Notamacropus eugenii: one gene and its partners. The protein of the gene in region 1 purifies or fractionates together with the protein of each later gene. This does not show direct contact. Links are inferred from orthologs where the notes say so. Each region holds a gene or a part of one and is shown on either strand. Other genes may lie near its edges. The genes, in order: ZRANB1, STRN3, MAP4K4 and STRN4.

Region 1 (6,896 bases):
GAAAATAATTTCACAATAATTATTAATAGAACACCAGATAAAAACTCTCATAGTTAATGGAAAAAATGAAGGAAGAGTTGAAACCAAAGCTAAAGAACAAAATGAGAGCACTTGGAAGTCAAATAGCTTAGACCAGAAGGAAGACAACCTAACCCAAGCACTGAACACCCTGAAATTAGAATGGAATAAAAAGAATGCAAACAGAAATAAATCCAAAGACTGGGAAAGATGAGGTAGGAAGTAGGAAAAGGGCTTAGACTAAAAAAATAGATGATATGGCTACTGTCACAAACAACAGACCTAGAAAACAGAATGAGAAGAAATAGTTCAGGAATCATTGGACTTCCAGAAAACCATATGAATCCAATCAATCTGGTTGCTATATTTGAAGAAATCCTACAAGAAGACATCCTAGAATTATTGAACCAAAACGCAGGAGTTCCAGGTCCCATAATCATCAAGATGGAAAACTAAACATTTTCTCCATTCCTCACAACTCAATCCCTCCCAAACAGGAATTATGTATAAAAAGTAAAGTAAATTCAGCTACCTCCATGTTCTAAGACACCAAGAACCTTAATGAGGTAACAGCCCAATGAACTAACAAAAAAAAAGGTTAATTTCTAATACCCAAATGGTTTCTCAGTCCCCCTTCTATCAGCTACCATACCCTGGTATGGTAGTATAAACCCAACCCAAAGGCTTGCAACAGAACAACTCCTCCAACCTATGCCATGGAGTTAGAGGTACAGGAAAATGGGAAATTTGTTTTGCCTGGTATGGCAGTGTAAGAATGCCCTGTGCTAGAACAACGTTCAGCTTGAGAATTGAATAATAAAGGAAACTGGGTCCAGGTTATATGGGGAACTTTACCAGATCTTAAGGAAAGGGGACTGGGATCCAGTTGTAGCTAGTTTAGACCCATCACATAGGGTAGGAACTGAGGCTGATGAAAAGTGAATTCCCAAGCGTAGGAAGAGGTTGAGATAACTTTGAGGCCTGGTCCCTAAGGAAAGAGCCATCAAAAGGAAAGAGCCATCAAAAGGAAAGGAGTCAGAAAGTGAATAATACAAGAATATAAGGGGAAAAGGTTGAAATTACAAAAGATCTAAGGAAGATAAAAATTCCATTAAAGATGTTTAATACAAGCCAATAGGGAAGACATTAATAATGTAACATGACCTCCAGATTATCTAGATGAGTCCAAACACCTCTGAATAAATATTGTAAGACAAAGAAAAGTTAATCAGTACCTGATTAAGGAGAGGAACCTCTTGAATTCCCAAGACAGCATGGTAGCACAACAGTATGTTCCTAAGTGGTTCAAGAGAGAAAGCAAAACTTATGACTTGCACAGCAGAAATAATGGAACAGAAAAGCTTGAATCCACAATGGCAAACCTCATAGAACAAATGCAAGAGAGACTAATAGATCAGGTACTTAAAGAATAGAAGTAAAGGGAAATCTAGAAGAGAAGCAAAAAGCAGTTAACATTCAAAGAAAACATGATCTCCATTCAAGCAAAACACATTATCTCAGACTGAATATAGAGATAACTTAAGGATGAAAGATCTTCCGCAAGAACATATGTCAGAATTTCTGAACATAGAAAACAGTGGCAATTCAAAGAATCCACAGCTCACCTTCAGGGAAAAAAACCCTAGGGTGCAAACTCAAAGACACATGAGGTGGAGTGATATGAAATAAAACTGGAGTGAAAATGGGGTCCAGAGGGCAATAGGTTTTCACTATCAAGCTAAGGAACTTGAGATTGATCAGAAAGCAATGGAAAACCACTAAGGGACTCTAAAGCTGGGGAGTGACGCAGTAGGACCCATGCGTTAGGATAATAATTTTGGTAGCTACATGGAAAGTAGTTGGGAGAAAGGATAGACTAGATAGCAATAAGGCCAATTAGAGGGCTATTGCAATAGTCCAGGCTTCAACAAGGGGGGTGGTACCCTAAACATAAGCAGGGAAGTTTGCAGGTGGGGAGCCTCAAGAAGCCAAAATACAGGATTATCCTGACAAGTAAAACCACATATTCACTCTTAAGTCTAACCAAAATAAGTCTCCATATCCCCCTAATCAGTATAATGATGGAGTGAAGAATCTGCCATTTCTCAGTCAATGTGATCCTACGAGAAATCACTTGAGGCGTCTTCAGTTGGTGTTCACCTATAAATTTTTGTTTGTATTTTAACTTGAAAACTTAAAATAAAGTTCATTTAATAAAATTAAAGGTCATTAAATAAAGTGAACTAAAGGGAAACTGTGAAGCACACAAGTTGAGAGCCCACACTATGCACGACCGCTCCCCCCCCCCCCCCCCCCCCCCCCCCCCCCCCCCGCTCCTTTCCCAGCACTTATAACATAGTTAGAAGCCCCCTCACTTCGGCCAGAAGCGCTTCCCTCCTCCTGCTGAGACCTCCTGGAGTAAACACTTAATGAAGGTTGTTGATTGAGTGATTATAATTCAATCAGTTAGGAAGCTCATTCAGATCTCAAGCCTCAGATTGCCTCCTTACAACTCCCATCCACCATCCTTCAGCTTCCCCTCTGGGCCCATCAGAACAAAGTTCATCCTTTGGTCCCTGCCCCACTTGACAACCTTTCAAATACTTGTCCCCTTCCCAGAGCTCCTGTTTTCCAAACTAGACACCCCCAGCTCCTTCAGCCAACCCTCATATTGCAGGGTTTCAAGGATCTTCTCCACCTTGGGTACCCTCCTCTGGCGTCCCCAGCTATCAATATACACAGACCTATGATGCTGGCACCATGAGAGAGACACTCAAAACTGGAAGGGCTTCTGTCATCAATACACGTTAAGAGACTTACAAGCTTTAGAAAAGGCTCCTAAGTTTTTTTTAACAAGGTGAGGGACATTGACCTAGGAGATTAAGAAGCATTCAGACTGGAGCAAAACTGATAAGTTCCCTCACATGAGGGAACTGAGTCCCAGTCTGTTTGATTCTCATGATTCCTACCTTAATCAGAGAGTCTGATCCGGAAGTCTTTCCAATGACAGAATTTGATGACAGTGGAGACAGAATACCACCACCAGCCCTAGAACTGAGTTTGTCTTTGAATTAAGCCATTTCACTTTCTGACTTTATACTGAAACATGAACAACAATGCTAATATTTGAGAAATAGGAACAACCTAATTCTTCTAAATGTCATTCAAGGGGACGCAACTCCTAAGTTTCTCATACTTTCCATATTTTACTCTCTGCTTAAGTATATGAACTCAGCACTGGTAACCTTCCTTCCTTGTCAATTCCAGTTATTTGGAGACCTACAGAGATTTTCACCTAAGAGTCAGACCAGTCGGTGATGTTGAAAGCAGGAGGCCTTTATTAGGCGGGTTGTAACTCACACAAAGGAAGGCATAAGGCCTAACATGGGATACCCAGGGTGGGGGGAGGGGCAAGGACCCAACCCTAGAGGTCCCTGGAACCTGATGGAGGGAATGGGTGGGGTCTTGCAGTCATAGCAGGCATCAACAATGGTCCTGCCTGAAATTGCCTCCCCCAGGTGATATCTAGCTCTCCCCAGTTGATGGGTGGGGCACCTAGCTTGTCATCACCACCTCCACACTAGGACAGCCCATACATTGGGACAACTTGACATAGTTGAGGGCCACACAGATCTATAAAGAGGGAAGGGGGTTCTCCCTTGGGTGCAGCTTATTGACTTACCTCTGATGTCACAGGCAGGATACCACTGGGGATTGGTCAGCAGGGCTGGTCAGCAGGATGGAGTCATCCCTTGAGCAACTACTTAAAGAAGCCTGTTCATTGAATGGATATATCTCATTCTAAGTGAGATTGCTATAAGACCTTAGCCTGAAAGGGCCAGCATCTCCCATTGCATCCTGAGTCATCTCCAGCTGTCCTGATGAATATTAGGCCACTGGACCCAGATGGCTCCGGAGGAGAAAGGAGGCTGGTGACTTTGCACAGCCCTCCCTCACTCAAATCAAAGTCAACTGCAAGTCATGTCATCATCTAGATGTCATGGTTCTCTTCGAGAACAAAGGACAAACACAACAACAGCAAGGATGGGTTAAAGAAGTTCTTAGCTCATAAATTTCCAGTCATGGAGGAGTCCCAAAAAAAGTGAGAAGATGAGGAGGAGGAGGAGGAGGAGGAGAAAGGCCTGTTGAGAGCCGAGGCAGCCTGCTGGCTCCAAAAGAGGATAGATAGGACCCAAGGCTGTACTTGGTTCTTGGATTATTCTCATGCACTACAGTGGAGAAGAATGCTGGAATCATAATCACACAAACACACTAAGTTCCTTTCCCTGGGTCTGTCTCTGGACAAGTGATTTAACACCTCTGGGCCTCAGGTTTCTTGTCTATGAAGTAAGCAGGTTGAATGACATTGAATGGAAGGTACTTTCTACCTCTAAAAGCTTGATCCCAAGACATACTACTCCTGTAGCACTGTATATACTGATGAACAAAAGCTAACACCTCCCCCCTCCCCCCACTAAAGCCATTCCTAGGGGCTGACCAGCCTTTTAAAAAGGAGCAAGGTATGGATGCATCGTGACGTATTCCCATTTAGCCCAGATGACAGAAAGGCAGCAATATGTCCTAGAAGGTAGAAGGCTGGCCTTGGCCTAAGGAAGATGGGTTCAAATCCTGCTTCTGATGCCCACTTAGCTGTGTGACTCTGGGCAAGTCATTTAACTGCTTTGAACCCCAGGCAATTCTCTAAAACTCTTTAAGTTATACAGTTGAGTCGCTGATCTCCATCAGTGGATGAAATTCCCACACTGAGGATTTCCTACTCTTAGGAAATCATAGGGCCACCTCCATTCCCACCACCAATTCTCACAGTTACTTTAGTGATATTTTCAGGTACATTTCGATGTACTTTTCAAATCAATACCATCAGTCTTGGTGGAAAAAAAGAGTAGCAAGATAGTGTATCCCAGGTAAAGGGTCCCCTGCAAACTCTGCTCTGGCTTCCCATGACTAATAAGCAAGAATCTGCTTCCCATGGTGGTTCACCACCTGGCTCCAGTTCTCCTTCTTTCACCCTTCTCCCTTTCCCTGCTCTACTCTTCCCAAGAGGACAACTCCCCACTTCCACAGACCAGGACCCCATCCTCTCTCCCCATCATCCCTCCCCTCTGCAAAGGCCCAGGCACCCCAGCCTCCAGTGGGCTCTCCTGATCCCAAGAGGCTTTCCTTTTGAATCTCTAGCATCTGGCACATAGTGGGCACTTTGCAACGGCTTATTTAATGAAGCCCCTCCCCCAAGCTGAAAGTGTTTTCTCCAGCCTGCATTTTTTCATAGCACTTTGCCCCTTGCTTCTGCCTCGAATCACAGTCTGTATGACTGCCTGTCTTCTCTCCCCTGCTGGACCATAAGATGCTTGAAGGCCGGAACTGGGTCATAGTTCATTTTCCTGTCTCCATCCCCTAATACTATGCTTTGCAAATGGTAGGTGTTTCCATTGTTTTTATATGAATTTACCTCAATCAGTGATTGGGCAAAAAAAGGATCCAACTTAAGCTTGACTGAGATGGAAAATGGAGGGATGAAGCTCTTCTCATCCAAGTCAGGGGCAGGGGGTAATTGGCTAGCCATTTGTCTAGATTTCCATCCAAAACCCCAATAAGATATTTCTTAACATTTTAGTGCTTCCAGCTAGGGTTGTGTTAGGGGAGTCAGTAAGGTAGAAAAAAATGTGGTGTGGCCCACAACATGCCAGAGTACAGCATTAAAATCTAATTGGGAAATAGTTAACAAAACAAAGATACAATAAGATGTAATATTAATATATGGTTATCTTAAGTCAATGTGTGACCCACAATGTTTTAGTGGCTTCTATTTCTGTTTCAATGACAGTACAAATGTGATAAGGTAGAGTCAAGAGAAGAAGGCACAGAAATGGGGTCAGTGGTAGCTGGGAGTGGATGACCACTTTGGCCTAACCATAAGAAAAGCCAATGGATGAAGAATGCCTGTTGTTCAGTTGGCTGGACCACACAGAGGGGGTAGATAGATACATAGGTACATAGCTAGACAAGAATAGGAGGTAAACAAGGAGAGGAATAAGGATGAGAAGAGGAAAAGGGATAGGGATTAAAGACCTTGCAGATAGATAACAAGGGACCTAGAATTGAACAGCAGGAGAGAAGGCTGGATTGTCTTCAGAAAATTGCAGTGCTTTGGATGACTTCAAGCTGCTCCCTGACAGAAACCCACATCTATATCTTTCCAGTGTTGCTTATGGCTGTGAGGCCTAAAACCCCCATTTCTGAAGCACTGAAGTTGAGGTTCACCCAGAAGTTCATAAAGAATCTGTTCAAGGTTGTATGAGCAGGCTGCAGCACAGAGCAAAAGAGGAATTATGTGGGAAAATGAGCATAAAATATGTCAACAGAGAAACATCTGCCCTGTTGGAAAAAAGATGGATTGGTCAACCCCATAGCAAAAGTGAGAAGTAACCACTGGACAGCCTTCAAGCACCATTGGTGTATCATGTCAAGGGATCCAGGAAAAGGCTCCTAGCATGCTGAGTGGACCTCCTGTGGCAAAAATATGGGAGGAATGCCATGGACAAGAGTAGCCCAGGATGGGTGGAGAAGAATGAGTAGGTCTGGCATTACTAGAGGAAACTCCAAATGGAGGCCACAGAACTCTCCCAGCATCTTTGAGGCATCAAAATGGTGACCCAGGCCAGGACACACTTATCTGTCCCTGAAGCTTCTTGATGCCCATAAAAAATATTCTGGAGGCCAGTGAGCCTTTGGGTCCACCTTCCTATACTCCACTCCCAGCAGCACCCGAAGGCCATTTAATGTGAGCAACCACACCTGGTCTTTTTCAGGTTTTTAATATATGAACAACATTGAGAGCTATAGTAAAGAAAGAGGAA
Region 2 (7,640 bases), on another chromosome or scaffold:
GTTCAAACCCCTTATATTTTTATAGAAGTGGAAAGAAACTAAGTCTCAGAGAGGTTCTGTGACTTGGGTGGGTTCACATTAACTGTGAACTAGAATTCGAACTCAGCTTGTCTGACTACAAATCCTCTGCTCTTTGCATTGTACTAGGATTTCTGAAGTGTTAGAGGCAAATAGAGGCACACAGTGGGTGTGAGCTACACAAGAGAAACAGTTTATCAGACTTTAGAGAAAAAAAAAAAGGATTGTCACTAGCAAGAGTATGGATAACTAATAATGAGCACCCAGGATCCCAGTGACTTAGTAATGTGAAGAATTCTAGAGGATCGTCCCCAAGATAAATAGATTAGAACCATCTTTTGTGGAAGATTTTCAAGAGAACATGGACAAGACTTTCCCAGAACAGGCAAGCATAGATAGGTTGCTGCAGGGGAAAAGGAGTTTCAGAAGGAGAAAGGATAGAAAAGGCAAGGTCAAAATAGATATCATAGGATTAACATCACTAACAACTCCACTAGTAAACCAGTAACATCTCTTTTGCTTGTGTTACACTACAGTTTAAGAGTGACTGATGAAATTCTTATTTAGAAAAGTCCTAAAATACAAATCCCAGGCTTGATTCCATATAAAATACACCAGTCATCAACATTTAGACTGCATTACTGCATTTCAAAACCACCAACAAAAAAATAGGACAAATGATCATACCTAATAATTCTTCCTAATGCCGTTTCAAACCGATCAACCACACTGCACAAATTTTTATTACGTACTTATGGACAACATTATTATGGACAACACTCGTATAATGAAATAAATTCAATTTCCAACACAGATGCTTTTTAAAAACCCTTTTCTAAATGATTAGTCCACTTACATGGGTAACTGTGTAGTAGACAGTATATAACACTATCTGCAGGCCACTACAAACTTTCAGCAAGTCATTTAAAATGCACAATATACCATGTATCATTATACCCCAAAGTATAAAAGGCAGAAAGCACTGTTTACATAAAAACACTTTTTAAAAATTTCATGTTTTTAAAGTCCAATACTATAAAATAAGAGATAAAATCCACAAATGTTTAAAAAAAAAAAAGCTGACAGGAATCGAATTAATCTCATAATCTTATTTTCTAAGGCTTGATAAAGACAATTTCCAAAGCAAAATTATAATTTTCACTTTAAAAAAAAATCATTAACCTCATTTTGTGACTTCACTATTTATAAGACCAAAGGAAAAAAAAACCCTATTGACTCCAAAACGTTACTGGCCTGATTAAGACATGTGAGATGAAATCTTTTTAAATAGGTAGTTTCCCCTCCATATTATCTTTCCGTAACTACTTAGCGTGCACACGTACACCGAACTACAATATTGCACGCAACATTGTATCAAAAAAACAAAACAGGTGCAATACTTTGTAGCAGAGACGCTGTCCAACCCCACCTCCCAGTCCTAAATTTGCCTTGGAAAGGGATTAAAAATAAACACGTTGGTACTGTCCACTAAAACATTCTTTCCCAACAGATACACCAACAATAGGTTCTTAAATCCAAGCTCCTATTCTGCTGCAAAAGCCTATACACTCGTGTTCTTCCCATTTTTCAGGGTGAGGCATACTTCATTTTCCATTTCCTCCCCCAAAAGGGAGTTTGAAATATGCAAATAACTGTTCTTTATTCCAGCCCGATTTAAGTCCAATCTGCCCTTTCCTCTGTTTCCTAACACCAAGCAGCAGACAGAAGGAAGTGACTGCTTGGGACTCAGGGATAAGTGAAGCAAACTTAAGAATTATTCATCATCCGAGAGTTCAAGAGTTGGCCCGAAGTTGGGGCACGTTAGGGACCCAAAGGGAGAGGGGGGAGGGGACACCACCTAGGTGACCGGGCCCCCCAAGCCAAGTTCGGCCGCGCGCAGAGCAAACTTCAGATCCTTTTCGGAGGGAGCGGGGATGCTCCGGGGAGGGCAGCTGTCAAAGGGCAGGTGGGGGGCGGGGGGAGGACCTGCTGGGAGGAGGAGAAAAGGGGAGGAGGAAGAGTCCGGCACGATCCGGGCCGGGGTGTCTGACCCGAGGGGGGGAAGGGCTGAGGGCAGCCGTCGCGCGCGCGTCCCGCCGCCAGCCTCCCTCCCCCCACCCCCGGGGGTTCGGCGGAGGGATCGTCCCGGGGCCACGGCTCCCCAGGTCGGGCCGGCGCCGCCGCAGCCGCCGGAGAAGCCCCGGCGGACGCCATACTAGAAACCAAAATGGCTGCCCCGAGGAAGCCCGCATCGCGCAGCCAGTGAGGGCCGCCGAGAAGGCTTCCCGCCGCGGGAGGGAGGAGGGGGAGGGGACCCCTGCCGGGACCTGCCGCCGCCGCCGCCGCCGCCGCTCCTCCTCGGCCCGGGCCCCCAAGGTACGTCTCGCCCAGCCGGTGCCCTCGGGCCCGGGATCCCCGCGCGGGCCCCACCCCCTCCACCCTCCCGTCGAGGTCCCGCCGTCCTCCCCACCCCGGGGTCCCGCGACCGGCTACCTGCAGTTCGGCCCGCTCCACTTCCCAGTGCGCCCGCTCCATCTCGAAGCGCGCCCACTCGTGCTGGATGTAGTGCAGGATGCCCGGGATCGTGTACTGCTGCGGCCGGGACAGCTCCGGGCCCGCCGAGGGGCCCGCGCCCTCCGCCGCCGCCGGCTGAGCCGCGCCGCCGCCGACTCCCGGCTGCAGGTTCATGTTGACCCCCGGCCCCTGCTGCTGCTGCCGAGGGGCTGCCATCCCCGGGCCGCCGCCGCCGCCGCCGCCTCCCGGGAGCTCATCCATTGTGTGAGGGGCCCCGGCCGGGGCGCGGGGGGAAACGCGGACGGCCGGGGGCGGGGGGGAAGGAGGAGGAAGGTGGCCCCGCGCGGGCGGCTGGGCGGCGGCCCGCGGGGAGAGGGGCGGGGAGGGGGTCGTTGCTAAGTGTCTGCCGCGGGTCAGAGCAGGGAGCTGCCGGCCGCCGCCATTACAGTCCCTCCTCCATCTGCCCGTCTCACTCACTCACTGGAGGGAGGGGGGGCGGAGGGGAGGGGGAAAGGAGGGTAACGTGGGGGGACGGGGGAGGGAAAGGGGTAGTCGTACAGCCGTCGCCCCCGCGCGGCATGCTGGGTAAGCGACGCTGGTGCCGCTGCCGCAAATCTTATAGCCAAATAGAGTCGGGCTCCACCGTTGCGCAAGCGCACTGAGGAAGGGAGGGGCCAAGACGCGAGGTGGGAGGAGCCGTGGGGGCGTCCCCCTCCCCCGCCCACAGCAGCTCGGCTCCCGGGCTGGGCTGCCCGGGCTGGGCTGGCTGGGCTGCCCGGGCTGGACTCGGTGGCTCCTCTTCTGACTTAATCTGGACCGCAGGACTTTCCTCTTTGCTACCTTCCCGAGTAAGCTCGTCCCGCCCGGCTGTATCCCCGCACCCAGCGCCGCGGGACGAGCGGGGAGGCCGCCGCCAGGGCCGGATTGGAGCCGGTTCTGCTGTTCCGGCGCCGCATTCCTCGCATTTCTTTGGCATTCCTTGCGTGGTTCCCGCCGCCCCTCCGCGTCTGTCTGTCTGTCACTCCCTCTTCCTCGGTTCTTGGCCCGTGCCGGCCTCTTCTCCGTTCTGGTAGTAACTCAGGCTCCGCGGCTGACCCGGAGCCCGCTTTGGTTCTTCCCACGCTGGACTTCGGCCGGACCGCGGCTCCGGCTCTGTGGGGGAGGGCCACACTTTGCTGCGGTCTGGTCTGGAAGAGCGTGCTGAGGGTGACCGGCCCGTGTGCGGCCCGTGGGAGGGGGGAAGTTTCCCTTTCTCCTTCCCTCTTCGCCTGGGGTGCCCAGGACGGCGTCGGACGTGCCCTCAGCGCTGCCCCCTGCCCTCGCTGGCACTGCTTCCCAGACTGGGCTGCGGACGTCGGGGCGGGGAGGGGGCCGCGCTTCTCCCCCGGGCTGCGAAGACCTGTTCCGTTAAATACGGCGGATAAGGTTGTTCCTGGGGTTGTAGCTTCCATGGGAGAGTTCCCTTCCAACCACCTCCCTAGAGTCTCTTTGCCTCTTTTGTATCCCCATCACCTGGCATAAGGTTTATCAGTCCCCATTTTAAAATAGGATTTCAGACTGGAAGAGACCTCAGGTCACGCAGTCCCAAAGCTTCCGTTTTACAGATGTACAAACTGAGGCCCACAAGGCCTGACTTGTCCATAGTTACGCATAGTAAATAGCGAAGGTCCGTTTGGGCTTAATCCCAAGTTGGCTTGCTCTGAATCCAGTGCTTCTTTCCAACTTCCTCAGGCTTCCTGTTCCTCATTTTTGTGTCCCTTCCTTTCTTCTCCAGCCACACCCTAGCCAAAATCTATTTTATGGGTCTCCCCAAGTAACTGGCTTACTATCTCTGATAAATTTATTAAAGTAAATGTTTGATATTGCAATGACTTCTTTACTGTGTTAGCCCCTGAAGGATAATTTGCTTGTGTAAAGAAATCTGTAAATTTTGGGAATGAATTTCTAAAAGTAAGAATTTCAGGTACTTTTCAAGGCTTGTATGATCTCAGATTGTGTAACCTTTTTAAATTTCCCCTCCCAACTGTTCTCTGGGAAATTAAATGTACTTTGCCCCGTATCCTTGAAATTTGCTTATATTTAAGTGCTTTGCCAATTTTCTGCAGCGTGGAGACAAGTAATTTGTTAACGTGAATTTGAAGACTAGAACAGAATCTCTGATATGCTTGTTTTGCTTGGAGTACTGCATTTAGTTTTATGGCTACATCATCAAATGGACCTTGACCACATTTTTTCTTGTTCAAAGGGGGATAAACAAAATGGTACAGGGCAGCACACCATATCAGGTAAAGAAAAAATGATCGAGTGGATAAAGGTCTTAAGAGCAGCTATGTGTCACAGTGAATAGAGCCCAGGGCCTTGGAATAAGGAAGACTCATCTTCCTGAGTTCAGATCTGGGCTCAGACACTTACTAGCTGGGTGTTCCTGAGCAAGTCACTTAACCTTGTTTGCCTCAGTTTATTCATCTATAAAACGAGGTGGAGAAGGAAATGGCAAACCACGCCAGTGCCTTTGCCAGGAAAACATCAAATGGGATCACAGAGAGTCCAACCTCAATGAAAAACAAGTCATCAACGAAAGTCTTCCCTTCTCCAGAATGTTCTCTGACCCTGCTTTCCCTTTGCTGCTTTCAATCTGTTACGGGCTGGGAAACCAGATAACCATTATTTTTAGAAGTGTCCACAAATCTAGAGTAAATAATCTTTTTGTGAGAATTAGAGTACTTCTCCTTTGAGTTTAAGTGCCTTCCAAAAAAGAATGGATTAAAGAATGAAGGGTGTTTAGTCTGGAAGATGAAAAGAAACATGAGAGAGAGGAAGAGGCATAAAACACAGTGTTAGGTGCATATCTAAGGATACAAAGACAGAAACAAAATTCTCCTTTCCTGGGGTGGGTGGAATAAGTCATATACATCTATAAATACAACATTAGTTTTGGGGGTAAAGGAGAGATCTCAAAAAAAGTGCTCTAGGAATAACTGAGAAGAGATGGAGCATTTTTAGCTTGAGGTTGTTGGGAGTGTAATTCATGGAAGGAGAGGGTGACACCTAAAATGAGTCTTGAACCAAGACTGGGATCTTGAGAGGGACAGCTGAAGGGGGAATGCCTTCCCAGGAGGATAATTTATGCAAAATCATAAAGGCCGAAGATGGCATATCATCTGGGGAATAGTTAGGAGCCCAGTTTGATTGGTGCATAGAATACAGTCAGTGAGTAAACACTGGGAATAGAAAGACAGGTAAAAGACATTCTCTGCTCTTGAGGAGCTCGCAATCCAGTGAGGGAGGTTGTTGTGTTTGTCCTTCGTTCTCAAAGAGGACCATGACATCAAGATGATGACATGACTTGCAGCTGACTTTGATTTGAGTGAGGAAGGGTTACACAAGGTCACCAAACTCACTTTCTTCTGAGCCAACTGGAGATGACCCAGGATGCAATGTGAGACCCTGGCCCTTTCAGGCTTAGGTCTTATCACATTCTCACTTTGAGTGAGATTCACCTGTTCAATGAATAGGCTTCTTTATGTTACTCAAGGGATGACTGATTTAATTTTTAAAAAAAAAATCAAGCTGGGAGGGGAAGACCCTCCGGGTTCCTAGGTAAAAGAGAAACAATTACTATTTAGTTATTACATTCGCTTTATACTAGGTGGGTAGAGACTTGTCTAGTCTACGAGCTCCAGAGTGAATTGAATTTAAGGCTTGATCTTTAAGCAAGAAATGTAGCCATAAACCAAAAGAAAAAAAAGCAACTTTTGGCCATGGAGTGTACCTTCCCCTAGGTAGAACACCAGAGGAGAGGAAAGGAGAGGAGCTGTTATTCACAGGTTGTGTTTGTCTTCCTTCTCGAAGAGGACCATGATATTAAGATGATGACATGACTTGCAGTTGACTTTGATTTGAATGAGGGAGGGCTGTGCAAAATCAACAACCTCTCTTTCTTCTCCTGAGCCATCTGGTTACAGTGGCCTGATATTTATCAGGACAACTGGAGATGGCCCAGGATGCAAACAGACAAGCTACATGCGGGATAAATTGGAAATAATCAATAGAAAACACTTATCTTAAGAGAGATTAGGAAAGGCTTCCTGTAGAAAGTAAGATTGTAGCTGTGACTTACTAGGTTATTAAATGCCAACCTAAGGAGTTTGTATTTTATTCTAGAGGAAACAAGGAACCAATAAATCATTAAACATATTTTAAGCACCTATTATATGCCAGGCACTGTGCTAAGAGCTGGAGATAGAAAAAAGGGCAAAAGACAGTCCTTATCCATAAAGGGCTTGCAATTTAATGGGGGAGACAACAAGCAAACAAATATATGCAAAGCGATTTGTGTATAGAATAAACAGGAAATAATAAAGAGAGGGAAGACACGGGAATTAAGAGAGAGTAGGGAAGGGTTCCTATAAAAGGTAGGATTTTAGTTAGGACTTAAAGAAGGCAAGGGAGGTGAGCAGAGCAGAGGAGGGAGAACATTTAAAGCATGGGGGGACAGTCAGAGATAATACCCAGGACTGAGAGATGCAGTGTCTTGTTCACCAGGGGAGTTGCTTGTTCAGATTTATGCATAAGAAAGTGGAGATGTAGACCTGGAGTTCTGTAGAGAAAACAGGTCTGGATATAGAGATGTCAGAGTCATCAGTGTAGAGTAATAATTAAACTTATGGGAGCCAGTGAGATCACAAAGGGGAAAAGTTTAAAGATAAAATAAAGAGGGCCTAGGACAAAGCATTGGAGGAGATGCTTAGGGCATAGAAGAAGTTTAACTAGCAAAGGTCAGATTAGTAGAAAAAGAACCAGAAAAGAGCAGTGTTTCAGAAGCCAAGAGAAAAGACACTTTCCTGAAGGGAATGGTCAACATTGTTAGAAACTGCAAAAAGATCAAGGAGGGAGTTAATTTAGAAATGACCCATCAAGTCTAGCCACCAGATCATTGGCTACTTTGGAGAACAAGTAGTAAGAGGAGGCAGCCAGCGTTCATTACGTTTACTAGTTGTTTAGCAGTAAAAGGAAGGAGAGAAAGACAGAATAATTTGAGGGAGTAGCAGGTTTAAAGAAAGGTGTTTGCTTTTTTTAAGTGAGGAGACTAGAGCTTGTTTATGTGG
Region 3 (7,095 bases), on another chromosome or scaffold:
AAATACAGCCCAAATGTAATATTCAACCAATTTGTTTCAAAATCCAAAGGGAGCTAGGAGAAAAGAGAGGGAGACAGAGACAAGTAAGGAATCTGGAGGGCAAAAAATTCAAATTACTTGCAACCTAAAGAGTTTTAGTAACAATAAATGTCTAAACCTTATTTCTAACGGTTGAAATAAAAGGCCTCACCCAGCATCAGATGATTTTAACAAGTACCTTGCTTCTGCAGACCCACATGACCTACCTGTAGTTCATGTTAATCTACTCTCTTTCATTGAGTTCTATTTTAAAACCAGGCTGATGTCTGCTTTCTTTAACAGAAATAAGCTCCCATAAGGTCCCCTACTCCCTAACCCCACTCTCTAAAAAACAAAACTGAACTGGATAAACAGATAAACAACATGCTTTTGCAAAATCATCTAGAAGTGTCCATTCACAACTTAGATTTGACCTGAAAAGAGTGTTCACTCTGTATGTCGTTAAGTCCATTTAAGCCAGTCATCTGGGCCTTCGGAAGTTACAACACACTAGGAAAAATACACTTTCCCAAAACTTCTAAACTGAATTAGGCAAATTTGTTTCTAGATGGAAAGCAGATTACAGTAGTCAACAGTCCTCCTATTGCCCTACCAAGGCCTAGATGAGTGAACACAACGAATGGAGACCATTCACAAATATCCATTAATGTGTTAACTGCAGAGGGCTCACAATCACAGTACTGGACATGGCTGAAGAGAACTCAGGTGATAGAAACATATGTAAAGAAGAAAAAATGATTAGTCACTTGGAAATGAGGGGGTTGACCTGAAGAATCCCACCTCTAATACTCTAAGCTTTTAAGATTCTAAATGTCCAAACTATCTTTAAAATAAGACAAAGTAATGCACATGGTGGTGATTCTAACCTTAAGTACAAAAACTCAAGTTTCAATATTTATATAACGAAAAATGTTCCTGTTCAAATACATTTGTTCACTAGAAGAAAATAGCCATACAACTTTTTTTTTTACAAGAATGGATTGTCATATAAGTGATTAAAAAAACTACTGGAAAGGAGAATGTAACCTTTTGTTTTCAGTTTTCAAGGCTTTGTTCCTATTTCTCAAGTAGTATAGTTTAGTAGAGCACTGGTCCCAGAGTCAGAAGACCTAGGTATCAATCCCTGTTCTAAGACTTACATGTGAGGTTTGGACAAGCCCCTTAATATCTGTGAGTTTCTTTGCTCATTTTAAAATGAGGGGGGTTGGACTGGATCTGGCTCAGGTTCTATGATCCTATACCAATAAATGCATTACCTACCTAACAGAGTTTTGTGGAAAGTGCTTAGCAAATCCTTATAGTGCTATATAAAACAAGCTACTACTATTTGCTACAGCTTATTCTTTAAGACCACGTATTAGTTAAAATATACGATAACTGTTAGTCACACCAGGTAGCTGCTACTCATTGCACAGTCATGCAGTCTCAAGACCTGTCTGTCGCATTCACTGTTCATTTAAAAAAAAAAAACAAAATAAGACTTGGGATGAGTGTGAAACACTTCTCACTCTCCCCGATTTCTGCTTTAATTATGCACTTGTCAAACAGGTTCTTCCTGGAATTCAGATTTTATAATGTTCACACTATAATCCTTCCTGCTTTTGTTGCCTAAATCTGGACAGTGGTCCCTGTCCCCATTCAGCCCCACCCCAGGCCACTTCCAATCAAGGTAGCCTTCAGTCAGTACACTGCATGATGTACACCAAGCTAAACTAGAAAGTAGCATCAGTTAATACCAAACTGCACCTTGAGCACTTGGAAGAGGTTCAAACATGGAGACAAGATGACAATTTCAGGAAGGCCAAGGCAGTGCTTTAAAATGAATGTAAGCAATGCCTGCCTATTACAACATTCCTGAATTTTAATTAAGCTACACAAACTCAACTGGGTAGTCTTAAAAAAAAAAAAATGAAATTGCCTTATGAAAACATTTCCCTCCGTTCTTCCACCCCCCCCCACCCCCGTTCTTATTCAAGTAAAGTACATGCCTGAGAGAATAGTTTCTTTCCCTATCTGAAAGTCAGAAAATGAGGTCCTTTAAGGCCAGTGAGACAGTAAACCTGATATTTGGGGGGAGGGGGCTGAAAATAAAGCACTAATACAGAAACCCACCAAACTTTACTTGACCAATTGGTGCAGCCAAGTCGCCTCCTGCCCTCCCCCAAAATGTCACGGGAAACAAAGAGGGCTCAGACACCAACCTTATAGACTTGTCCATAAGTGCCATTGCCAACTACTTCCACCAGCTCAAAAATCCCAGCAGGATCCTGGAGAGGAAAGAAGGGAGGGTTTGGTTTTTATTTTTTTAGGAGGGGAGTTGAAAGATGAGAGGCATACAAAAGAAGTTAGTTTGGCCTTTAAAGCAAAGGAATAAAGAACTTGCTTTATGTCCAAGTGTACGTAGAGGGTGGATGGAGGGGAAGGGGGGGGGGCTCTTGCAAAAAAACCCACAACGGTGCCTAGAGCCGGGAGGATGTTGGGTGCAGCTGTTGCGCCCTAATTTTTCCACGCACATGCCAATACATGCAAACAAAGGAAAAGCATCAACCCAGCAGCCTCCAACTCTCCCCCCCCCCACCCCCGCCCCGGCAGCACCACCCAGAGCGGGGCAGGAAGGGGAGGCCGGCAGAGGCGGCACCCCCACCCCAGCCCCAAGCACACGCACACGGCTGGACCCGCGAGGGCTGGGCACGGGGCGCGCGGGGGGGGGGGGGGTGTGTGTGAAAGGAGTGAGGGTGCAGAGAGCACAGGCGAGGGGGGACCCTGCTGGAGACGGGAGGATTAGGGGGGGGGGGGGCGGCTTCATTGTCGCTGGCACTCACCCGCAACGAGGAGAGGTCTATGTCCACCAGACTTTTTGCAGGCGAGTCGTTCGCCATCTTCTCTTTTTGCAAAAAATAGATATATGCTTTTGAAATTCAATTGGAATTGTTTCTATAAAGGGCTAATGGTCGATGGCAGCAGCTCCTCACACTGAGACGAGCCCCGCCAGCCCAAGGCTGCTCCTCATTGGGAGGCGGCGCTGAGGCGACTGCCGCTGCTGCTGCTCGGATCTTCCTCCGGCTGCTCGGTCCGGCCGCCGCTGCTGCTGCTGCTCCGGTCCGGTCGCCGCTGCTGCCGCCGCCGGATAGCTCGCTGCCCGGGGATGAGCCTTTATTTCCCCCGATCTGAGTTGTCCGTCTGTCTATCAGTGTGCGTGTGTGTGTGTGTGTGTGTGTGTGTGTGTGTGTAGGAAGAGAGAGGAAACTGGGAGCGTGGGGCGTCGGAGGCGGGTTTACACCATGTTGAGGTGGCAGCAACGGCCCCCAGGCTCTGCCCCCACTCCCGGCTTAAGCCTCAGCCTCCTCCACGCCCAGCGGCCGCGCTCGCATCTGCACCCCCCTCCTCCTCCCAGACAAACGGGCGAGGAAGGTGGAGGGCCTCGGACGGCGGCTCCCCTCCGGCCTGGGCGAGCCTCGGCTCCCGGCAGCGCCGATGGCTGCCTGTCGGCGCTAGCCCCCCCGCCGCTGCTGCTCCCGGTGCCGCCGGTGCAGCGGAGGGCACGGCACCCACATCCACAGCGGCCAAGGACTCGGAGCTGCGGCGCTGGGGAGAGTTCAGGGACCAAGGGAGCCAGACAAAGATAACCCAGGAGGAGGAGGAGAAAAAGGAGGAGGAGAAAGAGGAGGAGAGAAAGGATACAAAAAACTAGATTATGAGAAGAGAGAGAAAACAGCTCCCCCTTTCCTTCTCCAACAGGAAAAGCCAGCGGAAACACACACACACACACTCACACGCCCCAAAGCACTTCTGGGTAAACTAGAAGGAAAAATCCTGAGCAGTTCCTTTCTCCGGGTCGGTCTGGGAGTCGCTACTTGCTCGGATGTATCCATATTCAGCAGGGGTGTGGCGGGGAACAATAGAGAAGTGAGTCCCGGGCCGCCGAGGCGTGCCCGGCCTCTCTCCAGCCTGGCCGGACCTGGAGAAGAATGCTAGGCTGCGGTGGGGGGTTTAAAGGCCGACTACAGAAATAATAACGAAGGCAGAGGGTCTGTGTGCGTTGTGTTCCCAGACGGGAAGATCCCAGAGAAAACCAGTGTGAAAATCAGGAGAGCTCTGTAATTGTCAGAGAAAGGAAATTGACATGGTCCGGACCATGTGCTCCGGGGCACCGAGCTTAAGGCTTTGAACACTGGAAATGAGCAGCAGCACCCCCAAAGAAACGCAACAAACAAGAAATCCCTAACGGTAAAGAAAACACTTGGGCTCCCCAGGAAAGAACAAGAACGGGATTAACCCCTTCCTTCCCCCTCCAACACCTCGGGCGGTGGGTGTGTCCCACTGAGGCTGGCTGGGCCTGCTGGTGTTCTCTATAAGGATTGGAGAATCTTCTGAGAGCAAAATCCACCCTCTCTTTTTCCCACTTTCCCCTTCTGGAGAAATGAGCTTATTTCTTCTCAGACCTCCGCTCATGGTTCCTAAATATTGTTCTATCTCAATTGTTTTCCTTAAGTTTATTTCATCACAGGATTTTCTAGTAAAGTAGCAACGATCAAAATAGACCCGCGATGTATTTATTCTAACTTTTCTTTGTGATGCCTTATTAGTGTGAACCTTAATATTTTTGTGGCCAGAGTAGGGAGTCGGAACTTCTCAGAAAGTCTTTTAACTGGCTCTGAAGGTAACCTTACCAGTACACTTGGAAGTTAGGCAATTCAGTCCAATTAAACAAGAATTTATTGAGTGTCTGCCATATGCTTGTACTCTCCTAGGCAGTTTTTCCTTGTAATATTCCTTTGCTCAAAAACATTGAGTAGCCCACAGGGTACAGGATAAACTCCTTAGCTTGTCATCCCAAACCATCTATAATCTGGTCCTCTAACCGACTTGTTCAACTTGATCTCCCACTGCCTGCCACCAAGAATACTCCATATGGCCAACAGATCTGTCACCTTCCTTTGACCATAATTTCAAATTTCTTCATCTCTAGGCCACGCTCTCCTCCCTTACTTCCGATAACAGACCTCTTTACTCCTCTGTCTGGACTCTGTCAAGGCTTAGCTCAAATCCTATCTCCTAGAAGTCTTTTTTGACCACTGTGGACTAGAATGGCCCCTTCCAAAGTCTCATAGAACTGGACTTGTCATTTACCACTTTTTTGCCTTTTTACAACTAACTGGCATGTACATGCTTTGTCTGTCAGTTTGATTTTAATTGTAAACTCCTTGTGTGTAGGAATTAACCGACAAGTATTTATGAATGAATGAAAAATGAATTAATTAAGTACTTAATATGTGCCAAGTATTGTACTCATTGCTGTGGATAGAAAGGAAAAAATCAAAGACTAGCCCCTGTCCTCCAAGAGTTTACATGCTAATAGAGGGAGACTAAGTGGCACAATGGCTGTAAATGCTTTCTGGTCCTGGAGTCCGGAAGACATCTCTTCCTGAGTTCAAATCTGCTCTTAGACTAGCTGTGTGACCCAGGGCAAGTTTGCCTCAGTTTTCTCATCCGTAAAACAAGCTAGAGAAGGAAATGGCAAACCACACTATCATCTTTGCTGAGAAAACCCTAAATGGGGTCACAACTGAACAACAACAAAGGCAGACAATACAGGAGGACTATTTTGGTTGGCAGGGATAATAAGTAGAATCATAGAGAAATAAATGGGTGTATCCCATTCTGGGAGAGCGGCAGAATTTAATTTGCTCATAGTTAAAGGTTACAGAACTGGAAAAGGAAAGGAAAATGTACCCTGTGTTTGGCAGCAGTGTGGCAGTAGTGAAGGACAAGGCTACAGAGGAGGAAATGAGATAAAGCATGCCCGACGTTTCCTGAAATAGTAAAACAGTTACCAAAAAAACCACAGAGTGAAGTGCATTGTGCTAGGCCCTGTGGGTGTGTAATAAGTCAGGGTCCTTTTCCTGGAGTTTATAATACAGCTGGGAAGAAAGGAATAACTCGCATTTCTATAACTCCTAATAATTTAAAAAGTTCTTTCCTTATCAGAATTTAGGGAGGGAGTTGATAAGAGTGTATTTATCCCCATTTTAGAGATAAAGATAGGACAGGTTAAACCAATTGCCTATGGTCACATACTGACCTAGGTAATAAGTGACAGATTGGAATGAAAACCCAGATCTTCTTATTTTCATACTCTTTTCACTGTGAAAGACGTAAAATATAGAATACATAAAAATATAACTAACAATGCAAGGCACTAAAATAATTAAGTGCCAGATGGTTATCTTATGCAAGGGAAATAGTATAAATGAAAACTAGGCTGAGGACTTTGATAGGGAGACTAGCTTTTTTTTTCCCTAGAGATGAAGGCTTATTGTTGGAGATAAGGTTAGATGCCCTTATAGGACCAGATGAAGAAAATGAGATGTGAAAATGACACATTGAGTGACCTACTCAGGCTCATACAGGACTGGGGAAAAAAACCCAGAAATTCTGAGAATTAGTAAAGTTTAAGGGAAAATAAATATCCTAGGTGTAATAGTCAGAAGTTTGATGGTCTAGGAGATGGCCCCAATGAGTTTAGCCAGCAGTCAAATGTAAATGTACCTCCTCACAACTTGCAGAAGGACAGACAGGCAATAAATTTTCACCCATTCAGAACAATGCACTGTCAATAACACAATAGTATCCAATTAGGCCAGCAGTCTACATCTACACATGTTACTTGACTTTTTTCCTAATTTTTCCTTTATTGCAGAAATGGTAGGAGTTCCATAGTCAAAATATATTTTCAATCTATGAAGGGATTAAGCAAGGGTAGGGTGGAGGGAAGTAGATCTGTGGAGATAAGAGAGAGACTATCTGAGGTTAGGGTCTTTTGGAGATTTGCGCTAGTTTGAAAGGGTGTGGAAAGGTAGAAGATTTGGGAATTAATTGGAATGAGAGGTGAAATAGTCAATTGTTTTCATGTTGTATAAGCAAATAAGTTTCTTAAAAGCAAAGATTGCTTTTTTGTTTTGTCTTTTTACCTCCAATATTTTGCTTATAGTGGGGTGTTTAATAAATAATAATAAATAATAAATTTAATAAATTTTTCTTGCATTGGAGTGGATT
Region 4 (7,763 bases), on another chromosome or scaffold:
TTGGTCATGATGCCATTCCGGGGGTAGAAGGGCCACAGGTCCACATGGAGGTGGTTGGTCTCACTGTACTGGACCCGGAAGAAGTCTCCCTCCACGGCCTTTTCCCACACGAAACCTCGCTCGTCCACCACTGAGCCAACCTCAGCCCCACGCAGCTGTTCACAGTTGGCCACGTCCTCGAGGTAGATGCCAAGGTCGACATCATAGTCCCATGGGATGATGTCGCCGTGCCGCACTGCTCCCAGCAGGCTCCCCCCTTCCAGCCAGTAGCGGACCCGGGCAGCCTCGAGGACGCCGATGACGTGCCGTGCAGTCTCGCGAAGGGCCTGCAGGCAGCAGGGGGGCGTCCAGCGGCCCTCATAGAGGTAGGAAGGGGTGTCGCCCACCACGGTGTCAAAGCACCTGGCTGTCTCCTTGCCACAGCCAAACCACTCCTGCCTCCCGCCCTCCCAGCTGACCAGTCGCATGCCCAGAGCCCGCAGGAGTGCATCACGCCGGGCACGGCCTTCCTTCTCGGCCTTCCAGCGGGCATGGGCTGTAGCCAAGGGAGGCTGCCGGGCAGGGGCAAAGGGCAGGTCTAGGAGGCGAACAGACCAGCCTCGGACAGACGTCTGAAGGAAGAGGCTGGTGCTCATGGGCCGGGCGAGGGGCAGGGAGAGGTTGAAGAGATCTCGCGTCCTGACCACCACCACAACCTCTCCATCCAGGGCATCACAGAAGGGGGGGTCTGGGGCTGGGCCGTAACTGGCTGTCCATTCGCGCAGATTCACTTCCAGTGCCAGGCAGTGCGGGGGATTTGCTGTTGCCACAGGTGCAGCCACCAGTCGGGCATGGGTGTTTTTCAGCTCATCTGCCATGCGCTGGAGCTGCCCGGGGGACTCTGCCCTCGTCCCATCAGGCACTAGGGCCACAAACTCCGTGTCCACATAAGTCTCAGGCTGGGAAGCAGCAGCTGGCCGATCGAGGGAAGGCTGAAGCAGGGCCAGCCGGACATTGGGAATGGCAGGCAGGGCTAGGGGCGGGTAGGGGAGAGTATCAGCTGCCACTACGATAGGTTGGGTGGGGTCGTGGTGCAGGAAGGAGGCCACCACCTCGGGCACAGCATTGTCAAAGGCTTCAAATTCCCGGATGAGCACAGTGACCCGAGGGTCTGGGGAAGAGTGGGGGAGTCGGGGGGGCCTGGCTGCCCGGCTCCCCCGCCGGCGCTGCTGCTGCAGCCGCGACACATAGAAGAAGACAAGGAGGTTGAGGGTAATTGCGGCCGCCAGCGCGACCTGGCATCGTGTAAGACGCATCTGGCTTTTGGAAGTGGGGCTAGCCCCAGGATCCTGGCAGCCTGTGTGGGTTTGAGAGGTGGAGGCAAGGCAGGGAAGCACTGAGGTTTACATTCCCAAACATCCCCTCCTCCTCCTCTCCCTCCCTCCCTTCTCCACAATGTACAGCCCCCCTCAACAGACTTCCACCCTCCCACTTCCTAAGACTGAGAGCTGGCAAGACCTTGGAGCTCACTTAGCCCAAACCCCTCAATTCACAGAGGAGGAAACTGAGGCTTGAGAGGGTGATTATGAGTAGCTCCTGGCTCTACAGGCAACAAAACCACATGATCTGCCTTCAAATTCAGCACTGCTATACCTGCTCCCTGTTCTACCTGACACTTCCTTCTGTCCCTAGTGGTAAACAGCTTGGGCATTTTCTGCTTAACCAATCCCAAGCCTTGTGCCTTGGTGAGGGTGATCCCTCTCTAGGCCCTCTCCTGTCCCCCGGGCTCAGCCTGGACCCTCAGAGGGCAGAGGGCCCGGGACCTATGTCATTGCTGTGGGTGGGAGACACACACACACACATGCTAGGACTTCAGTCTGCCTATCTGTGGGGTAGGGTGGCAACCCTGAGCCTCCACCCACACTGACTGCTTCTCCCTTTCTCTGTCCCTGTTCTGGGAGAGCCTCAGGCTCCCCTCAAGGAAGCCATGGGGCCTCCCTGGTCTGAGGCTCTGGGGCTGAGGTTCCTGGGGTCAGTGCCCACCCCTAAGCCTCAGGGGCAGGGACCAGTCCAAGGTCTGGACTCTGTTTCCACCTAGGACTACTGAAAGGAAATGGCTTAGCTCAGAAGTGCTCAGAAGTTTAAGTAACCCTTAAAACATCATGGAAGCTTGAGCTGCTGTTCCATCCGACTTTTGTCTGCACTGGATCTGATTCAATGGGCAGAAAGTACTCCATAAATACCTGAACCTAGAGGAGGGTCTGGACTATTGTTGGCACCTGGGCTCTGTTCTCAGAGCCCCATCTCCTCTCCAACAGAGCCCAGACTAGTCCTAGCAGGCTAAGCAAGCTCAAGGAAGCTTTCCACTTCTGCCTTTCTTCTAACCCCCCCCCCAAAGAAAACCCTAACCAAAACAAACAACCTCCTTTCCAGAATTCCAGAATCTATCAATCCTTGCTAGTTATGGGACATTGGTGTTAAGAGGCCTTCTAAAAGGATGCAGCACAGTATGGTGGCAAGCTCACTGACTACATGGTCTGAGTTCAAATCTCACTGCTAACCCGTAGTACTCCTCTGGCCTCCCAGGAGGGATGCTGGGTTTGGAGGTCTCCTCTGGCCCTAATGATAGCATCCTATGATCAATGAATCCAACCCTATCATTTTCTTGATGAGACTGAGGCATAGGAAGGGAAGGATTCTGGGCAAAGGTGCAAGGGCAGTGGGAAGCAGCCTCCCTTCTGTGAACAGATTGGAAAGGTTTGCCCCAATTAGGACCCAGGCCCTGGACTGGGTGCAGGGGCGTGAGGTGGGGTGGCAGGAAGAACCTCAAGAGGGGTGAGGCATAGTCCCAATCCTCTCTGGAAGTTCAGTCTAGGAGGGGAGACAAGACAGACACAGATAACTACTGTACCAGTATACTGCTGGATTGAGAAGGGATATTAGACGTCATCTCCAAGGCCCTGGTTGCAATCCTAGCTCTGACCCTGACTTCCTTCGTGCCCTTATGAAAAGTCCCTTTCTCTGGGCCTCAGTTTCCCCATCTGCAAAAGGGATATTCTGGTTCTCTGATGGTCTAGGATTCTGAGAAAATGAGCGTGGGCATCTGGGTGGAAGGGAAGTAATCCACTCCAGGTCCCCATCCATGCCAGTTTCTAGTCTAGCCCAGCAGGCAGTCTCAAAGCCCCCCAGGTAGGGGGCCCTAGAGCTTACCTTTTTAGGAGAGTGGTGTATAGAAATCCCCAAGGCTGATTGCTTTTCCTGCTGAGGGTTTAGGGAGGGGAAAAAGGCTGAATTAGATGTGGCTTTGGGACCCCTTTCAGGAAATGGGCATCTCACCCAATAGCATGGCTGCCCAGCATCGACATCTCCCCCTCCTCAGGTTTACATGGTATACCCCAGTGCAAGGCAGAGCTGTCCCCTCCAAAGAGGCAGGGCTGGTCGTCTGCCTTTTTCAAGGAGGGACAGTGAAGGGGGAAGGGAATGACTTGGCCTCTCCTTAAAAGGGGTGGAGTAACCTTTGGTAACTTGGAACTCCTTCCCTGTCTGCATCCGTCTGGATTTAGGAAAGGGGTGAATGAAAAGGAGGCAGCCTGATGTCCAGTAACCGCAGCAACCTGCCTCCCTGCTCCCCGCTGCAAAGCTCGCAGCTCTCCCCAAGCGCAGCATCCCATCCCGGGACGGGTCTGGACGCCCTGAACAGACTGAGAAGGACGGCCCACAGCAACCACGATTCCTCCTTAGGACCCCCCTCCTACTCTCCTCCCCGCCTGGGGAGGGGGGAGGGATCACGGCCATCACCCTCTCTTTCCCTGGGCATTCGCACACCGGGGTCTAGGTGTGGTACTAGGCCCGGATGCCATAGCAACCCACACAGCCCGGGGTGGACTAAGCAGATGCTGGGAAGGGACAGATTAGGGTGACTATAGCAACAGCTCTATGGTAGCTGCCATGGCAACTGGCCTATGGGAATTGGGGGGAGGGACAAGGGTTACTGCCGCCACCGATCCTGGCCCGGGGGAAGCAGGTAAGTGTTGCCATGGCGACCAGCCGGCGGGGGAGGGGCCGGGATCGGCTGGGGGTTGCTGGGGAGGGTCGCCTAGACCGGCAGGATTGCTATGGTAACCCACGGGGGGAAAGAGATCCGGGATTGGCGGCTTGGAGTCTCCGGGACAGCGGGGGTGCAGGGGCGGTGCTCCCATAGCAACCAGTGGGGCTGGGGGGGCGGGAGACAGGGTGCAGACTGGTGCCCGTTGCTTGGCAACCCCGTAGGGATGGGGAGGAAGGGGCCTAAGGAGGGGCTGGATGGGAGGGGGGCGTGGAGAGCTGGGCCAGTTGCCGTGGTAACCGGCGGGCCAGGAGGCGTCTCGGATTGGAGGCTGGGAGGGGAAGGATGCGGCCAGGCCGGTCGGTTGCTACAGTAACTGGAGCGAGGGGCGGAGCCAGGAGCCCGAGTCTGGTTGGGGCGCTCCGCAGGGCGGAGAGGGGAGGGGTGTCAAAGGGCTAGGACCAAGGGCAGCCTTCCCGGCGCGCGGCCGCCGCCCCCCCCCCCCCGGCGCGCGGCCGCCGCCCCGCGCGCCTCCCTCGGGGAGGTGACAGCGCGCGTGCGCGTGCGGGCGCGCGGCGACAGCTGCGCGAGGCTCCTCCTCCCCTCCCCCCCCGCCCCTCCCCTCGGGCTCGAGCGCGCGTGCGCGCGGACAACCGCCGTCCGCGAGGGAGGCGCGCGGGGCAGGCGGCGGCCCGCGAGGGCGCGCGCGCGCTCCAGCCGCCGGCCTCCATGATGGAGGAGCGAGCGGCCCCCGCCGCCGCCGCCGCCGCCGCCGCCGCCGCCGCCGCAGCCGCCGCCGCCGCCGCCGCGACCGCCCCCGCCTGCCGCCCGCCGGCCCCCGGCCCCGCCAAGGGCGGCGGCGGCGGCGGGGGCGGGGCCGGCGGGGGCAGCCCCGGGGCGGGCCCCGAGCCGCTGAGCCTGCCCGGCATCCTGCACTTCATCCAGCACGAGTGGGCGCGCTTCGAGGCGGAGAAGGCGCGCTGGGAGGCCGAGCGGGCCGAGCTGCAGGTGAGCCGCCGCCGCCCCCCGCCCCCCGCCGCGCCAGGACCCGCCCCCGGCCCGGCCCGGCCCGCCCCCCGCCGCTGCCCCGGCCCGCGGGCCCCTCACCCGCCGCCGCCGCCGCCGCCATCTTGGAGAGCAATGGCCGCCGCCCCCCCCCGCGGGAGGGAGCGGGGAGCAGGGAGGGGAGGGGGAGCGGGGAGCGACCCCCCCGCCCGGGCTCGGGCTCCTGCCGAGGAGGGCACGGCACGGGAGGGGAGGGGGACAGAGAACCCCCATGGGCGACCTCGGCTCCTGCTCCCGCCGGGGAGAGAAGGGGGACAAAGAAGACCCCCGCCCCCCGCCGCGGGAGGGGCGGAGTGACCCCCTTGCCCGGAGGAGGCGCTTGGGGGGCGGCCCCGGGCGGAGGAGGGTAAGAGACCCCGGCCCTGAGACGGCTTCCACTCACCCCACCCCGTACGGGTTAGGGGAGATCCCGGGGAGGGCTGTGGAAGGGGAGCCCTCGCTCGGCCTCTCGGCAGCTGCGCCCCCTCTAGTTGTTTCTGACTCTTGGGGGTCGAGGGAACATTCTCAGAAGATCCCAGCCGTGACCCTTCTTCCTCCAGCAGCCCCCCTGGTGCCCTGAATTTTCAGTGGGGGTCCTGATTTCCCACACCCGCTGCGCCCCCCGCAACATAGGTGGGAGGTATTGGTTGATGTAGGACCCCTGGCATAGGGGAAGAGGTGGCCTGGGAATGAGGGGCGTTGTGGTCACCGCCCCAGAACGAAAATCAGAGGGTTAAATGTGGGGAAGGGCGACTTGGGCAGTGGCTGCAGGGAGGAGGGCAGGACCCCAGGACTAGCAGTATTTGTAAAGCAGTCTGTTGTGGGCTCATTGGCCCCCTGGTGTGGGAGAAGAGTGTTAGATCTGGGATCAAGTTGGGGCTCGTTTTTGTGACCCTGGACAAATCATTTCACCCTCCTGGGCCTCAGTTTCCTTATCTTTAAGTGGAGGGGTTGAACTCGACAGTCTGAAGTCCCAGCAATACAGCTATGAGCTTATGTGTCTGGTGGGAATTTGAGAATGAGAGACTTAGTGGAGCCTCAGGATATGGGGCCCCCAGAGGCAAAGACTGAGGCCATTGGAAGCGAGGCGAGTGGGGGCCCCAGCATGCAGAAGGGATGTGCTTGTCCAGGCAGCGCTTGGGTGCCTGCTTCCTGCAGCCTCCGGGCTTGGCTGAGAGGGAAGGGAAGACAGGTGAAGCAGCCCCTGCCTTTGATGAGCAGGAGGCAGAGTGGGCACAAGAAACCCCAAAGAATTGGGGAGCAGGGCAAAGACTGGGGGTGGCATAGCAGAATACATATCAGGCCTCTGACACTCACTGGCTGTTCGACCCTGGACAAGACTGCTCTCTGCCTCAGTGTCCTCATCTGTAAAATTGGAATAAGAGCCCCTGCCTCCCTCCCCCGAATCGCTGGAATCATATATGTGAAGTGCTTTGTCAGCCAGAAAGAGCCATAGAAATGCTGCTGCTTTTTATTTAAGCCCCAACAGTTGTGTAGACGGTTTAACCATTTTAGGTGACTTTTTTTCCCCAGAGAAAAATGTTCTATCTCCATTATGTACAGGCTCCTGAACAGATTTCACCTTCTTGTGCCCATTCAAGATGATTGTCATGCACTTTTATTCATGTCATACAGTTGGAGCACATGGGGCCATTCCCCCATGCCCTGGGTCTACTGTTCATGGGCTTCATTGGGTCTTTGCTGTTGCTTCCTGCTGTTTGCAGGGTGCCTGCCTGGAGCAGCTTCTCCTGACTCCTTTTCATCTGCACTTGGTGGGGAAGCCAGCTACCCCCTGGTTCTGCTAGAGGGCCCTGTTAGGGGCTGCTGGGTGGTCTGGTCACAGAGGACTCTGGACTCCCCTGGAAAGGCCAGGGCAGAGCTGGGGCTGGAGCCTGTTCCTCTTTGTTCTTCACCAAGGGGTGTCCAAGGGAAGTTGAGGAGGAAGGAATGGGGCAGAGCAAAAGGTGCTGGCGGTCTCATTCACTGACAGGGCCAGGGAATGGACCTGGGATTTCACTGGGACAGGGAGCTCCCAGAGGAGAAAACTGCCAGTGCCACCATCTCCTCTGCAATTTATAATTTGAGAGGGCTGATGGAGAGTGGGAGGGGGCATGACTTGCCCACATGGTCCTAGATGGTCTGACATATCAGAGGCAGAATTTGAACCCAAGGCTTCCTCTGGCTGAGGCCATTCTGCCTGTCACCTGGGTTCTTCTAGTTCTCAGAGGCATCCCATGACAGTTGGGCTGAGGGCCAGTCTTAAGGGTGTGTGGGTTGGGGGTGGGCATAGCATCTGTCACATGAGTAAAGGTGGAGGCATGGGAATGATGTGCCCCTTCTAGGTGTTTCCTGGGCCTCAGGGACCTCAGACCAAATGGATGGGAAATGTACTGCTGGCTAGAACAGCTGGGATCTCCAAGGAGGGAGAATGTGTTGGCATTCAAAAGACAAAGTGATGGGGCAAGAGCCCTGGACTAGGGAGTCCAGGGACCTGTGTTCAGTATTCAAATCCCCAATCTAGCACTCACTAGCTTTGTGACTAGGAACATCCAGTTGATCTCTGAATGTATTTCTCCTTTCTACTAAATGTGGATCAATAAATAAACAAATATTAAGAACCTTCTATGCGCCAGGCACTAAGAATCCAAAGGGGGAAAAATGAAAGTCCTGTCCTAAAGGAGATACACATATGTAA

What was found.
Region 2: the proteins of ZRANB1 (region 1) and STRN3 purify together in Homo sapiens (affinity purification with mass spectrometry; 4 studies listed by BioGRID and IntAct, with this or other methods). This does not show direct contact. The link is inferred for Notamacropus eugenii from reciprocal best matches to the Homo sapiens genes ZRANB1 and STRN3.
Region 3: the proteins of ZRANB1 (region 1) and MAP4K4 purify together in Homo sapiens (affinity purification with mass spectrometry; 3 studies listed by BioGRID and IntAct, with this or other methods). This does not show direct contact. The link is inferred for Notamacropus eugenii from reciprocal best matches to the Homo sapiens genes ZRANB1 and MAP4K4.
Region 4: the proteins of ZRANB1 (region 1) and STRN4 purify together in Homo sapiens (affinity purification with mass spectrometry; 4 studies listed by BioGRID and IntAct, with this or other methods). This does not show direct contact. The link is inferred for Notamacropus eugenii from reciprocal best matches to the Homo sapiens genes ZRANB1 and STRN4.

Annotation. Positions count from the first base shown.
Region 1 is NC_092872.1:281,369,326-281,376,221, reverse strand, and holds the start of ZRANB1 (ubiquitin thioesterase ZRANB1), read right to left. Parts: upstream 3,012-6,896; 5' UTR 2,988-3,011; intron 1-2,987. UniProt on the Homo sapiens protein: Ubiquitin thioesterase, which specifically hydrolyzes 'Lys-29'-linked and 'Lys-33'-linked diubiquitin. Also cleaves 'Lys-63'-linked chains, but with 40-fold less efficiency compared to 'Lys-29'-linked ones.
Region 2 is NC_092878.1:47,716,146-47,723,785, forward strand, and holds the start of STRN3 (striatin-3), read right to left. Parts: upstream 3,003-7,640; 5' UTR 2,794-3,002; coding exon 2,512-2,793; intron 2,395-2,511; exon of another isoform or gene 2,271-2,394; intron 1-2,270. UniProt on the Homo sapiens protein: Calmodulin-binding scaffolding protein which is the center of the striatin-interacting phosphatase and kinase (STRIPAK) complexes.
Region 3 is NC_092877.1:173,756,279-173,763,373, forward strand, and holds the start of MAP4K4 (mitogen-activated protein kinase kinase kinase kinase 4), read right to left. Parts: upstream 3,007-7,095; 5' UTR 2,919-3,006; coding exon 2,862-2,918; intron 2,307-2,861; coding exon 2,241-2,306; intron 1-2,240.
Region 4 is NC_092876.1:28,840,159-28,847,921, reverse strand, and holds the start of STRN4 (striatin-4), read left to right. Parts: upstream 1-4,753; coding exon 4,754-5,032; intron 5,033-5,131; exon of another isoform or gene 5,132-5,161; intron 5,162-5,285; exon of another isoform or gene 5,286-5,300; coding exon of another isoform or gene 5,301-5,435; intron 5,436-7,763. Other genes in the region: ribitol 5-phosphate transferase FKRP, read right to left, coding at 1-1,295. UniProt on the Homo sapiens protein: Calmodulin-binding scaffolding protein which is the center of the striatin-interacting phosphatase and kinase (STRIPAK) complexes.